Mus musculus: one gene and its partners. The protein of the gene in region 1 interacts with the protein of each later gene in a pairwise test. Links are inferred from orthologs where the notes say so. Each region holds a gene or a part of one and is shown on either strand. Other genes may lie near its edges.

Region 1 (4,137 bases):
TTTACATAGATCTGAAGGAGTTGTGGGCTGGGTGTGGGATTGCTAGCCTGTAATTCCAGGAGGAAGAGGAGGGAGGGTTACAAGTTATAACCCACCTATGCTACCTGAGACCTGCCTCAGTAAATGGGTTGAGAGATCATTTGTCATTCTTGCAGAGGACCTAGGTTCTACCCCCAGGAACCACATGGCAGCTGACAATTATCTATAATTCCTGTTCCAGGGAATCGGATGCTCTTTTCTGACCTCCCAGGGTACCAGACAAGCAAGTAGCGTGCAGATCTACATGCAAAAACCCTAAACAAATCAAAAACAGGATGGAGATGTCTGAATGTGTAAAGGGCTTGCTTTGAGAGCATACTGAGCCAGGTGTGGTGGGACATGTCATTGATCCCAGCGTTTGGCAGGCACAGTTGGATCTCTGTGAGTTCAAGGTCAACCTGGTCTACAGAGTGAATTCCAGGGCAACCAGAGGTCTGTAGAGAGTTCCTGTCTCAAAACAAAACAAAACAAAAAAAAGATATGGCCAATGAGTGTGGAACACAGATCTTATAACCCGAGGCTGTCCTCTGAACGCGGGTGTATGGTTACCTGTGTGCAAACACACACCTCCCTAAGAAACCAACCAAAGCTGGGCATGGTGGTGCACGCCTTTAATCCTAGCACTTGGGAGGCAGAGGCAGGAGGATTTCTGAGTTCAAGGCCAGCATGGTCTACAAAGTGAGTTCCAGGACAGCCAGGGCGACACAGAGAAACCCTGTCTCAGAAAAAAATAAAAGAAACCAACTAAAGAACACAACACAACACTCGGGCATCTTAAATTCTCTCTTCCCTCCCCTGGTAGAGGGGACCAGAGAGAGGACAGGCAACAAGCCAGCTGTGGCCACCACTCTAGGCACTGTTGCCTCCTCTGATTTCGGTCCTCCTGGATGCACATCCCGTCCTGAGCGCTGGCACCGTGGTTACAAAGACAGTTGTAAAGACCTCAGTACAGAGTCTGGCAGGAAGCCTGGCTTGAATCCCCAGGCCAACTCCCAAGTCCTGGTAGTTCTCGGCTCCACTTCCTGCTCCGCTTCAGAAACCTGCTCTACCCCAGGCTGCTCACCCTTGGCCCAGCTCCAGCAACCCCGAGAGGCACAAATTACTTTCTTGAACTCCTACCTACCCTTGGGCTCAGAGGGAAATGTCCAGTGGAAGGGCTGATAGATAGACAATTCAGAATGATGACGGCTACCTAATGGCAGAGAGCCAACTAAAGAGGGGGGGAAATATCTCTGGAGTCAAGAGGGCTGCAGCCTCTACCCAAGTGGGACCCAGGTTCTCCCAGCCTCCGTGGGTACAATGGACACTTGGGGACAGGTTATTCTAAGTAAGTTTTGAGCACTTATTCATATCCACTAGAGGCTAGCAGCAGTGTGCCCCGAGGCTTAGGGGTTTCCGAAGGGCAGGCTCAGGGGTAGGACTGACCGATCATGTGTGGAGAAGCTGTTGCTATAGCGCGTGTCTTTGGCATACTTGATGACCAGGCACTTGTACTGGGCGATCTGGAAGCGCCGGACTCTTCTCATCAGCTCTGTGCTGCAAGAATTAACCAGAGCACATGAGGCCCGAGCAAAAGGCGGGCTGCCACTACCACCTAGCGTCGGGCAGCCGGAACTGCAGCCGTTCACCCCATGCTGTTCTGAACAAAATTCAATTTTCATGAATGAACTTCAAAGTCTTTGACAGAATCACCAGAGAGCTTGCTTCTGGATCCCAGATCATGAGTTTGGCCCTCACCCTCGGGGCAAGGGACAAATTGAGGTGACACCAGACCATTCAGAAATAATGAGGTGCCTGGTATGGTGATGCACCCCAGCAGAGGCAAGCGGATCTCTGAGTTGGGCCACAAATAAAGACGCTGAGTTAAAAAAAAAAAAACAAAAACTAACCCCAAGATAAAGCAAAGAAAACCCAAGTAGTGTGTGTTTGTTATTCTGGGTGGGACTCCCAGAGTTTAGACCCTCACCTCAGAGTTAATTGGGCTCCAAGGCTTTAGGAGAGCTCGCATGGGGAATGAATGAGGAAACTGTCAGAGAAGGTGCCTAACTCCCAGGGGACACATGAGAGTTCGGTGGGCTCCTGGGTAATGTGGGCTGGGGTCTTCAATTGTACCCCCATGTGGTCCGCCTCAGCAAAGATAGGGTTCCCCAAGAGAAAAGGCTTGGGCAGGAGGATGGCAGCAATCCAGGAAATCGAATTTTGGGCGGGAATGTACACACAGAGGTCGAGCGCGTTTGCCGCCTAGTCAGAGGCTCCTGGGAAGATGGGGGAGGGGGGAGAGGAGAGCCAGGGCCTGCAGAGAGAGAGGCTGCAGAGAGAGAGGGAGGCCCACCGCCCCGAAGGCCCATTCATTACCTTTTCCCTGAGAACATGGGCCCGAGAATCACCTAGAAGAGAAGTCATTTAAGGGGTCTCCCCCTTGTACACCCCGCACCAGCCACCACCCGACCCCACTCCAGACCCCGCACCTGAATCTGCCCCCGAGTCTTGCTGGGGGAGCTGGGCAGCACGGTGGGCAGATTGATGTAGCTCATGGCTGCTGTGCAAACCTTAGTTAGCACCGAGAGTCCGTGGGTGGAAAAATTTCGACTTACTGCTCGCATTTGCCCGCGAACTCAAAAGGGGGCGGGACGAAGACAAGACTCGTCCCACCTCTCAGCTACGTGAAAAGCCTGGAGCTCGACCATCCCCTCCGGATCTGGCCATGGCGTTTCCTTCCCTTTCTGCGGGCCAGAATCCCTGGAGGAACTTGTCTTCGGAGGTAGGTGTGGTGCAGCCGCCCAGAGCCGGGACTGGAATTTTAGGATGCCCACAAGCCAAATTTCCAAGCGTTGAGCGCCAGATTTCTTCATTTTTCTCGTCATAGAGCAGGTTTAGCTTGTTAGCCTGGTTTTAAAGACAGCGAAAACTCAAGTTCCAGCAGGAACTAAGGGGCTTAGGGTTTGGACCTTACTCTGAGGTTGTGCAGTGTGATTCTGTGTTTCTGTAACTACAGTCTGGAAGGTGCCAAGGCTGGGGGTCCTTGCTGTGAGTCGCAAAGTAAGGCAGGCACCTTCAGGGACAGACTGTATTGAGCGGCTTCAGAATTCCCATGCTAAAACTCCTATGGCTCACACCGAGCATGCCCAGAAACCTTCTCACTCAGGAATTTGTTTGGTTACTCTGTCTGCCATTGGTTGCGGCAAGGGTTACCAAAGGCATACACAAAGCAGGACAACACATTTTGGCGCTTGCTGTAGTTAATTACCATTCCACTAGGATTTCTTGACTGGTTAGCTTGTATTAAACAGGCTTCTTTGTTTTGGTCACAGACAGACATCACTTAGAATCTGTTGAAAGTTAGGAACATGTGTCCTCGGGGGTGGCTCAAGCATTCAATTCCAGGCAGAGGCAGGCAGGTGACTTAAGTTCAAGGCCAGCCGGGTCTACAGAGTGAGTTCCAGGTCAGCCAGGACTACACAAAAAATAAACTTTAAAATACAATCAATCATAAATCCTAATAGTAAAAATGAAGGCAGAGGGCTAGAGAAATGGCTCGGCTGTTGAGCATCCACAGCTCCTCCGGAGGCGCAGAGTTGAGGATTTCCAACACCCACATCAAGACAGCTCACAGCGTCCAGCTCCAGAAGGGACTGCAGGCACACACATTTAAAGAGGAAATAAAAAGACTTTTGGCACATGTCAGTAATCTCAGCACTTGATCCTCGAGGCAGCTACACAGTTACAAGAGATGAGAAAACAAAAAGACGACAAAAAAAAAAAAGATGATGCCTAGCCAGGCCCCTAGCATCCAGCAGGTACCAACCGGAACGAGAAGGGTCTATAGCATGTAAGACGAACATTCAACAGGAAGAGGCAGAGGCAGCTGTGTTTGAGCAAGGGGCTTACATTGTTTCTCTTACACACCTCCCTTCCAACCCTGTGGGCGTCTAGCACCCCCATTATATCAACGAGAAGAGCAAGGCTAGAGACAGCTGGAGAGAGCCAAAGGTGCCCAGCCCCAGGCCTCAGTGTGAAGACGCACTCACTGTCTTCAGGATTCCTGTGTTGGCTTAGGAACCTGTGTCCTCCTGGCTTTCTGTGTTAAGTGTGGGCATC
Region 2 (4,247 bases), on another chromosome or scaffold:
CTGAAAGTGTTAAATGTGTGACTGAGACACACACAGAGATCCAATGTATATATGACATACACACATTCCCAACTACACTATCCTCCCAAATGTGTAGTTATGTTTCCTACATTAACAGCCACAGAGTACTCCTGGAAAGTGGTGAACCACCCTTGGTGATCATGTTATAAAATGCATATATAGTAGGATGAAGTACTTTAGAATTTAGAAAATATGTCTCTTCAGCTCTTTAAAGCATGTTCATTTAAATGCCTCCAAAAGTTCCTCATTTAAAATAGAATAGTGGGAAGGGGGGAAGCAAGGAACAAAACAAAGCACTTCCAATTTCTTGTCCCTAGTCAATGCTTTTTTTTTTTTTTAACAAATATGCCATAGAGTTTAATGGCATTACAATACCAAATGATTTATGACAGCCAGAAGAAAAGAGATGTCTACAAAAACCAACTTTCAATCTCTGGAGAAAAACAGATAGGTGCGCAATCTGACTTTAAACTCAAGAGATAAAAGGCCTTCATTTGTGGGCAAACATAAGGATGAGAGCCAGATCTGTGGAGCCTGCATTCATTATAAACTCCCAGAAACAAATCTGCACAGTGTGATGAGGCACTCTCGGTACACAGTGATTAAATGATAAATAACATTTTTAAAGAGAAAAAATTCTCACATGTTGAAAATCTATCCATCAGCTGCTAAGACATCACTAGTCTCCAGTTCTAAATACATGTGTTTAATCATGTAACTGGTAAAGTTCAATTAACAAATAACATGCCTCCTCAAGCAAGGCTCTCCGTGAAGCGACAAGCACCGTGTAGAAATCAATACTCCCTCCAACTTGCTGCATATAATGAGTTACATCAAGCATGGTTCCAATACTAACAGCATTGTATGGCAGAGACACTCGGTAACGCGGAAACCAGAAAATTAAATTAAGTCGTCGGAATTCATTGCATAGAGCTGGTGCCTTCTGCACACCACCCCACACACGGTCTTTCCTTTGCCTGCTACCATTTCATAGTCTCTGCCTACGAGGAGGATACACTCAAGCTCCAGACTCCGAGGTCTAACTCCTAAAGGGGAGGGGGAAAGAAAAGCTAAGGGACGATTTGCTCCGGAAAACATCATGGTGAGTGTATTTCCAGGAAATCGAGCAGTCTCAACAATGAAACTATCAAGTACAAAGTAAGTTCTGTCTTCCCATCCTGCTGGTTCAGCCAGGAGCGCGGCTGTCGCGTTTCCCGTCACCCTCTGGCCACTCTGTGTTTCCACAAACACTGGGAACCAAGGCAGCAGCGGATGCGCCCTCCAACCTTGCTGGGCTGGGTGGGTTAACCAGAAAAGTTGTAAAGCCTTGTGGGAGGCAGAGGCTTAAACCTGGGAGCCCGCTCCCCAGCGTCCACCTGGTGAAACTTCAGAGCCGGCAGATACATAGAAGCCAGCGACCTACAGGCAGGATATCAAAACTGGACGGGAACAGAGACCACCAGTCTGAAAGACCCGGAATCCTGGGACTTATCTGAGCGGTTTTACTTAGAACTCAAAGGGATAGCCTGGAATATCGCATCACGTCTCACTCCTGGGTTGTCCAGGAGAACAGCGAACGTTCCCAGCCCAGGTCACCCAGGCGGACTCAGGGTGGTGTGGAGCCAGATTTGAGCTTTGTGGTGGCTTCGCCCCATAAATAGGGTAAGCCTTCCGGGAATGGGAGCCCAGAACTCGCTGCCCAGGACAGCTCTGAATCTACCCTTAGAGCTACATTTACAAACGTCGTACGGACTCTGCCAATGTATACATACAACGTGCTCCACGCTGTGTGCTCTGTAATCTATCCAGGAGCAACTCTGAACCCTCAGCAGAGGAGGAAGGAGCCTCCAGGAGGCACCGGGAAGTAGCTGGACAATAGTCAGAGGCGGTTATACCCGGGACAAAAAGCACCTGGCAGAACACACCGAGATCGGTCCCTATGTGTCTCCACAATTCTCACAAAGACTTCCCGGGGAAATTTTGAACAGTCTGGCGACAGAGAGCCACTAGCCAGCTCAGCGAGCCATAAAATCGTGGTCCCGGGAGCCCTAAGTACTTTTTCTTCCTCACTTCCCTAACTAATGCTGTGGACTGCTCCCGACTCCCAGGCAAAAAGAACACCCAGGAAAAGCAAGGTCGCCACACACTCCATCCAGCACACCCTGGGCTGTCTGCGCGCCGGACTAGCCTCAGAAACAATGGGTCGAGAACGTAAAAGTTACCTGCGCACGGGGGCGCACAGCTCTTGGCCCTGCGTCCCGCCTGACACAAACTCCCAGGACAGACCTAGCTCCAACCTGCACCACCACCACCCCCGCCACCTTAAGCGGACGCCCCCTGGATCCCCGAACCCAGCACCAGCAATCAGTCAGTCCTTCCTGCCTGAGTCCAAGACTGTGGACAGACACAGACCACCCCCAACCTCTCACCTGCTGAGAACTGGCCAAGGGCCGACCCCAGGAGAGGCCACGGGTACAGAAGCCAGAGAGCTACAAAAGCAGGCAACGCAGCGGCCGCCACATCCATGGCGAGTTTGGGAGAAGTTTCAAGCAGCTTTGCAAAGAGCCTCCGGGGGAATCGCGGTGAAATCCGCCAGCCAGCAGCCCGCCCGGCCTCGTCGGGGGGCTCGCGGAGACGCCGCGGCCACCCGCCAGCACTTTCGTCCTTGCGCAACGTCGGCCAACTACCTCGCGGGCGAAAGCGTCTCCAGCGTCGCCCGCCAGCCGCGGCCGCCGCTCTCCATGCTAGGCAGAGGCTGCTCAGGGTAGTCCAGAGTTAGTTTGCTCTGGGAGGGACGGGGGCGGAGCCTGGGGTGACGTCGCCCCGCGGGCTCCGGCAGCTTCGGAGGAATGCGGGCTCCGGTGCGCGCCGCCGCCACTGCCGCCTCCTGCTAGGGAGACGCGCGCCAGCCGGGCCGCGCGCCCCGCGCCCTGCGCCCCGCGCCGCCTTTGTTCGCCACCTGGGCTCGGTGGCCGCGCGGCTCTCTGGCGGCGAGCGGGAAAGGGGGACCTGGCGCAGCTCCCTGCCGGATCCCTGAGATTCAACTCTGAGAGGCAGAACTGTGGGCGGACGACGGAGGAGGCGCCCGAGGAGAGGTGTCCTGGGGTTCTGTCCCCAAGGTGGCGGTCCCACCAGAGCGGCTGGTGGTAGGAAGAAAAGGGAGCGTAGATGTGACCTTTAAAACGCCGACCTGCACTGAAATTTCACTCTTCCTTATTGATAGGATAAGGAATAAGGCTCCCTACCCCATTGAAAACTTACTCTCGTTTGTTCACGAAATAAATAAAACTTGGACCAAAATAAAATGTTGGGTAAGTTTCCAGTGTGAACAGCTGGCGTGCCTCGTTTCTGGTTTATTTGTCATTGGGAAGCTCCCAGCCGCTCAGCCTTCGCATAGCCTGGTGGAGTAGAGCAAGACTTGGTTTTGTTTTGATTTTTACTGTCTTGTAGCTATATAAGAAATAAGTATTTAATAAAAGGAGTTTATCCCAACAATGAGCACAGCATGGTTGCTCCGAAGGAACCCAATGCTGTGTGCTGTGTTACAGGCAGGAAGTCAGTTTTGCTACCTTAGCAGCTTGGTGTGATTTCTCCAAATGCCACCTTCACTTGCTTCTGTAGCAACGCTGTATAGTTGCTTACTTTTACTCATGTCTGCAAATTATGACACATGTAAGTATGACCAAAACTGAATAAGCCTAACTTTTTTTTTGAATTTTGATGCTATATATGCAACTGCTAATAATAGCCTTGATTGGCACCTGTCAGTCACTCAAAATGTCTTTAGCCTTTTAAAATCAAAATGAAGTGAAATTCAATTTAATACAGCATTCTCATCATTAACCGAGCCACATATTTCTGTAATTAATACATGCTGTTATGACTAGGTTTGGAATAGATGCAAGTGACTGTATACTACACACACACACATCTATGCACATATATTATACATATTGATGAAGAAGGGAGAAAATGGGTTTCTTTTTTATTTGCTGAGGATAGAAAGTCCGTTACGCTACAGCCTTGATGACTGCTCATTAGTACCTGTAACAAGCCCAACACTTGTCAATTCAGTTCAGCATAGTTCAGTCATCTCCCTCTGGGTACAATGTCAATGTTCCTTAGCTCATTAACCTATAACTTTAAGCACACTCTACCAAGGGTCCTTATTTCGTACACTAAAGAGCTTTATTAGATCACAGGTAACCAAAAACCTATTATTTTCT
Region 3 (4,083 bases), on another chromosome or scaffold:
ATGGAATAGGTTTCATCTGTGTTCTCTACCAGCTGGTGCACTGAGAGGGTGGCATTATAGGGCTCCACCACAGTATCAGAGACCTTGGGTGAGGGCATGACGCTGAAGGTGTTCATGATGCGGTCTGGGTACTCCTCTCTGATCTTGCTGATGAGCAGGGTCCCCATGCCTGAGCCAGTGCCTCCCCCCAGTGAGTGGGTCAGCTGGAAACCCTGGAGACAGTCACAGCTTTCAGACTCCTTCCTCACCACATCTAGGACAGAGTCCACCAGCTCGGCCCCCTCTGTGTAGTGGCCTTTTGCCCAGTTATTTCCTGCACCACTCTGGCCTGAAAGAGAAAAAGAGAATATTAGACAGTTAGGAATCCAGGGAGGTGTCCTTGGACTGTAGAGGAAATGGTAGAAGTGGCCTTAGAGAACATTCAGTAGTCTTTTAGATATACTTTTATGAGAAAGAAATATTGTCAGTGTATCCAGGGACCTCAAAAACCTTGAGGATCATAATAAAGAAAGAATCAAGGAAGAGGACACATTTTAACAATACTCAGTAGCTTCTAAACTTAAGCACAGAGAGCATTCTGTAAATACCCTTAATTAGGTATAATTAAAGAGGCAGGGAAGGCAGCTGTAAGCATTTGGGCTTCACCTTGGTCACTGAAGTGGTTGCCTGGCATCAGAAGCCCTTTGAAATCCCCTGCAGCCTGTAATGCCCTCTTTGAAGGCTTTCATCCCCTCCTCCCCTGCCCCCAGACACTGTTCCTCACAGAGGCCTTGCACAGCCTCTACCAGGCCCACACTCTCCTCTGAGCTGTCAAGAGTGACCACAGACATGATCTTGTCAGCTGCCTAGGTTAGGCCAGGACTTGTGGTCTGTGGGACACAGGCTCAGCTGGATGCTGCACACAGAACTGTAAAGCCCACGGCTGCTAGGAAGGGAGTGAGTCATCTGGCCAGCTCTCATGGAGCATCACAACATACCGAACACAAAGTTGTCTGGCCTGAAGATCTGGCCGAATGGTCCCGACCTCACTGAGTCCATGGTGCCCGGCTCCAGGTCCACTAGGATGGCCCGAGGTACATATTTGTTGCCTGTGGGGACAAGAGCTGACTTACAATTGGGCTTGAGAAAGGAGATGAATGTGGCAAAAGAATTCATTGCAGAAATCCCAGCATTGAGACAAAGGAGGAAAAAGAAAATGGAGACACAAAGCATGCAGAGGTCTTCAGGAATTATGAAGTGCTTTTTTAAAAAAAATGAATATGCAAAAAAACCATTTCCTTGTCTGCATGCTGGTAGGCTGCTTTCTCTGTCACGGTATGGAAAGCGAGACTGACATCCAAACTCTTACCAGCAGCTTCATTGTAGTACACATTGATCCTCTCCAGCTGCAAGTCACTGTCGCCATGGTAACTGCCAGTGGGGTCGATGCCATGCTCATCGCTTATCACCTCCCAAAACTGAAATGAAGACAATCCCACATCATGCTTAGAATCTCTCTGTCACCAGAAAGACAGCAGGGCAAGAGCCTAGTGGGCTGCGGGCCTCCATGTATTTGGGCAGCAGCTGCTGCTGCAGAGGGTCTTGGGAATGCGCAGTGCATCGGCCATATTATGACCACAGATGCAGGGCTGGGAGGAGCCTGGAGAAGGAAGTGGGCACAGCGGATCTCGCAGAACTGCAGAGGCAGCTGCTTTCTATCACTCCAGGCAAGGCTGAATGTTACACATACAGGCTGATGGATGGGAAAGGCAGAAGGGAAAATCAGGTGCCCCGCCCCCTGTGCCTCCAGGGATCAATGGCTGCTGGCACAGACTCCATGACAGCTTTCAACAGCCCAGTTTTATACCACTGACCTACATATTGGCTTCGGGTATTGACCCTGGCTAGGAATGTTCGGGGATGGGCAGTACAATCCTGAGAGGGCGTCTGGCAGCCCCGGGAAAAAGCTGGCCATCCTCAGGATGTAACCTCCATTGTGACTTGGCAGCAGGAAAGGGAGTGGGGAGGTTGGGTGGGCAATATGGCGGTGTTGAAAGAGACCATGTCCTTGTGCAGGCACCCGCCCACACCCATGTTAAATACCCATTGCTGTCTCCCCACTGCCGTCGGGTCTCACAGCCCCCATTCCAAGCAGTCTTGCAGAGAAAAAAGAGGACCATAATGTTTTATGTCACATCTAAACGAGCCCTTGTAAGAGAATTTGTCTAACACCCTCGTCTGTTGGCCCAAAGACACGCCTCTGTAACATCTGTCAACCCAATGACACTGCATTTTTTTCATTCAAATGACAGAAATATATATATATATATGAATTACATTTGACATGAGATTTTTTTCAATACATGTAGTGACCCCCCCAACCCAAATTTCAGACACGAAAAAAACCCAGACTAATGTCAGCTGCACCCCGCAGAAGGGCTGTGTCCCAAAGCAATGTAATGGACCTTAATTTAAGACACCCTTGTCGCACCAATCCTGGCAAGTTGGTCGGCTTTCAGGACCCGGCCCGCCCAGTAGCCAGCGGTGGAATGCGACACCAGCCGGGGCTCTTCTGGATCCCCTAGGCTCGGCCTGCTTCCGCGACACCCCCCCCTACCCCTCTCCCCACGCAACCTTGGGACCCTGACCGGATGGGACTACCTCATCCATTTCTTCCCTAGGGGTGAGCCCACCTTAGCGCCGATCTGGTTGCCACACTGGCCCGCCTGGATGTGCACGATCTCGCGCATGGTGCTGGTTGTAGAAGGGGTGGAGGCTCTTGCCCTCGGAGCAGTGCGTGGACAGAGGGCTAAGGAGCGCAAAAGACCAGTCGCCCTCCCCCAGCACCGCCTTTTATACCCGGGGACCGCCCAGTCCCGCTGACGTCATGGGGGCAGAGCCGAGGGGCGGCGCGGCTGGGACTGCGGCACCGCGAGAGGGAGCCGGGGCGCGGTGCGAGGTGCGGGGCACCCGCCTGTATCCAGCCTCCTAGGGTTATTACGCCCCCCCAGCCGGTCCTGCTGGTTTCCCCTCAGTGTCCACCTGAGGTGTTTGTCTACTGTCGAGACCTTTAGGTTACACTCTGGTTCTGCTCCCACACTGCTCATTTCCCACCACTCTGGGGACTACAGATGGGGCTCCTGCCTCCCCAGTAGCAGGACAGGTGTGGCCTCGCTCTTGGATATGAAGCCCAGAACTGAAAATGCATCTCTACTAGATGTCCTTTCTGAAAAAGGGTGCCTGCATCCTGGGCAGGACTTGAACTGCAGCCCGGTTCTCTCTTTCAAGTCTGCTTGGTAACTAAGGGCGAGTAGAAAGCCAGACGTGATACCGCTTGGGAGGAAAGAGGGGAGGATCAAGTGAGGGTCTGGACTGTTTCAAGGACGACAAGGATGCTATACAGGTCGATTGCTAGGTATAGAGGAGGAAGAGTGACGTTTTTCTGGTCTGGACTCTTGGGTCCTAAAAGCCTCTTAAAAGTCGAAATTTCTGCTCTCAGACACGTGTTGGAGCGAGAGAGCAAGGGAGGGAAGTGGAGGTAGCTAATATAGTGAGTGTGAGTTGAGATGCTGGTCTGAGAGAGACACTGGTTTTCATGGGCTGGGTAAGTTAGCCAAAGAACCTCACTGACAAAAGGTCACAGTGATCACGTTTTGGACACAGTGCTTAAAATATATTTGTTAAATGACTCACTTGTTTTCACTTTTAAAAATGTGATAACCAGGAAAATATAAAAACACGGTTGCAGCCCACATTCAGGGCTCACATTTCCTTCTCTCGGCTAGTACTGTCTGTCCCACAAAAGGCATCAACACTACCCAGATTCCTCCCCTCAGAAAAGCAAGGTTTAAAACCTGACCAGCTACAAATTGAGGAAGCCCGAGAACCTGCAGTTTTTCTATTAGCAGAAACCCTAGGCTTGGCGCTAGGACTGGTCCACCAGGAGTTACTCTTCGTTGGTCTGGCACAGTGGAGGGGTAAACAGGAGCTTCCACCAGTTCCTCTCGGGAGCCAGTTTCTTCAAATACTAAATAATTATAGGTGCCGTGGAGCTGGCTTTGTGAACAGGAAATGAGAAGGTGTATATGAAAGCAGGTTGAGTTT

The links. The genes of interacting proteins can lie anywhere in the genome.
Region 2: the proteins of Tk1 (region 1) and Ptprk interact in a two-hybrid assay, tested with the Homo sapiens proteins (2 studies listed by BioGRID and IntAct). The link is inferred for Mus musculus from reciprocal best matches to the Homo sapiens genes TK1 and PTPRK.
Region 3: the proteins of Tk1 (region 1) and Tubb2a interact in a two-hybrid assay, tested with the Homo sapiens proteins (2 studies listed by BioGRID and IntAct). The link is inferred for Mus musculus from reciprocal best matches to the Homo sapiens genes TK1 and TUBB2A.

Annotation. Positions count from the first base shown.
Region 1 is NC_000077.6:117,823,207-117,827,343, forward strand, and holds the start of Tk1 (thymidine kinase, cytosolic), read right to left. Parts: upstream 2,809-4,137; 5' UTR 2,801-2,808; coding exon of another isoform or gene 2,744-2,800; 5' UTR 2,643-2,743; coding exon of another isoform or gene 2,574-2,642; coding exon 2,508-2,573; exon of another isoform or gene 2,427-2,507; coding exon 2,395-2,426; exon of another isoform or gene 2,297-2,394; intron 2,096-2,296; exon of another isoform or gene 2,006-2,095; intron 1,576-2,005; coding exon 1,465-1,575; intron 1-1,464. UniProt on the Homo sapiens protein: Cell-cycle-regulated enzyme of importance in nucleotide metabolism. Catalyzes the first enzymatic step in the salvage pathway converting thymidine into thymidine monophosphate.
Region 2 is NC_000076.6:28,073,381-28,077,627, reverse strand, and holds the start of Ptprk (receptor-type tyrosine-protein phosphatase kappa isoform 2 precursor), read right to left. Parts: upstream 2,809-4,247; 5' UTR 2,548-2,808; coding exon 2,451-2,547; intron 1-2,450. UniProt on the Homo sapiens protein: Regulation of processes involving cell contact and adhesion such as growth control, tumor invasion, and metastasis. Negative regulator of EGFR signaling pathway. Forms complexes with beta-catenin and gamma-catenin/plakoglobin.
Region 3 is NC_000079.6:34,075,201-34,079,283, forward strand, and holds the start of Tubb2a (tubulin beta-2A chain), read right to left. Parts: upstream 2,809-4,083; 5' UTR 2,730-2,808; coding exon 2,673-2,729; intron 1,458-2,672; coding exon 1,349-1,457; intron 1,089-1,348; coding exon 978-1,088; intron 329-977; coding exon 1-328. UniProt on the Homo sapiens protein: Tubulin is the major constituent of microtubules, a cylinder consisting of laterally associated linear protofilaments composed of alpha- and beta-tubulin heterodimers.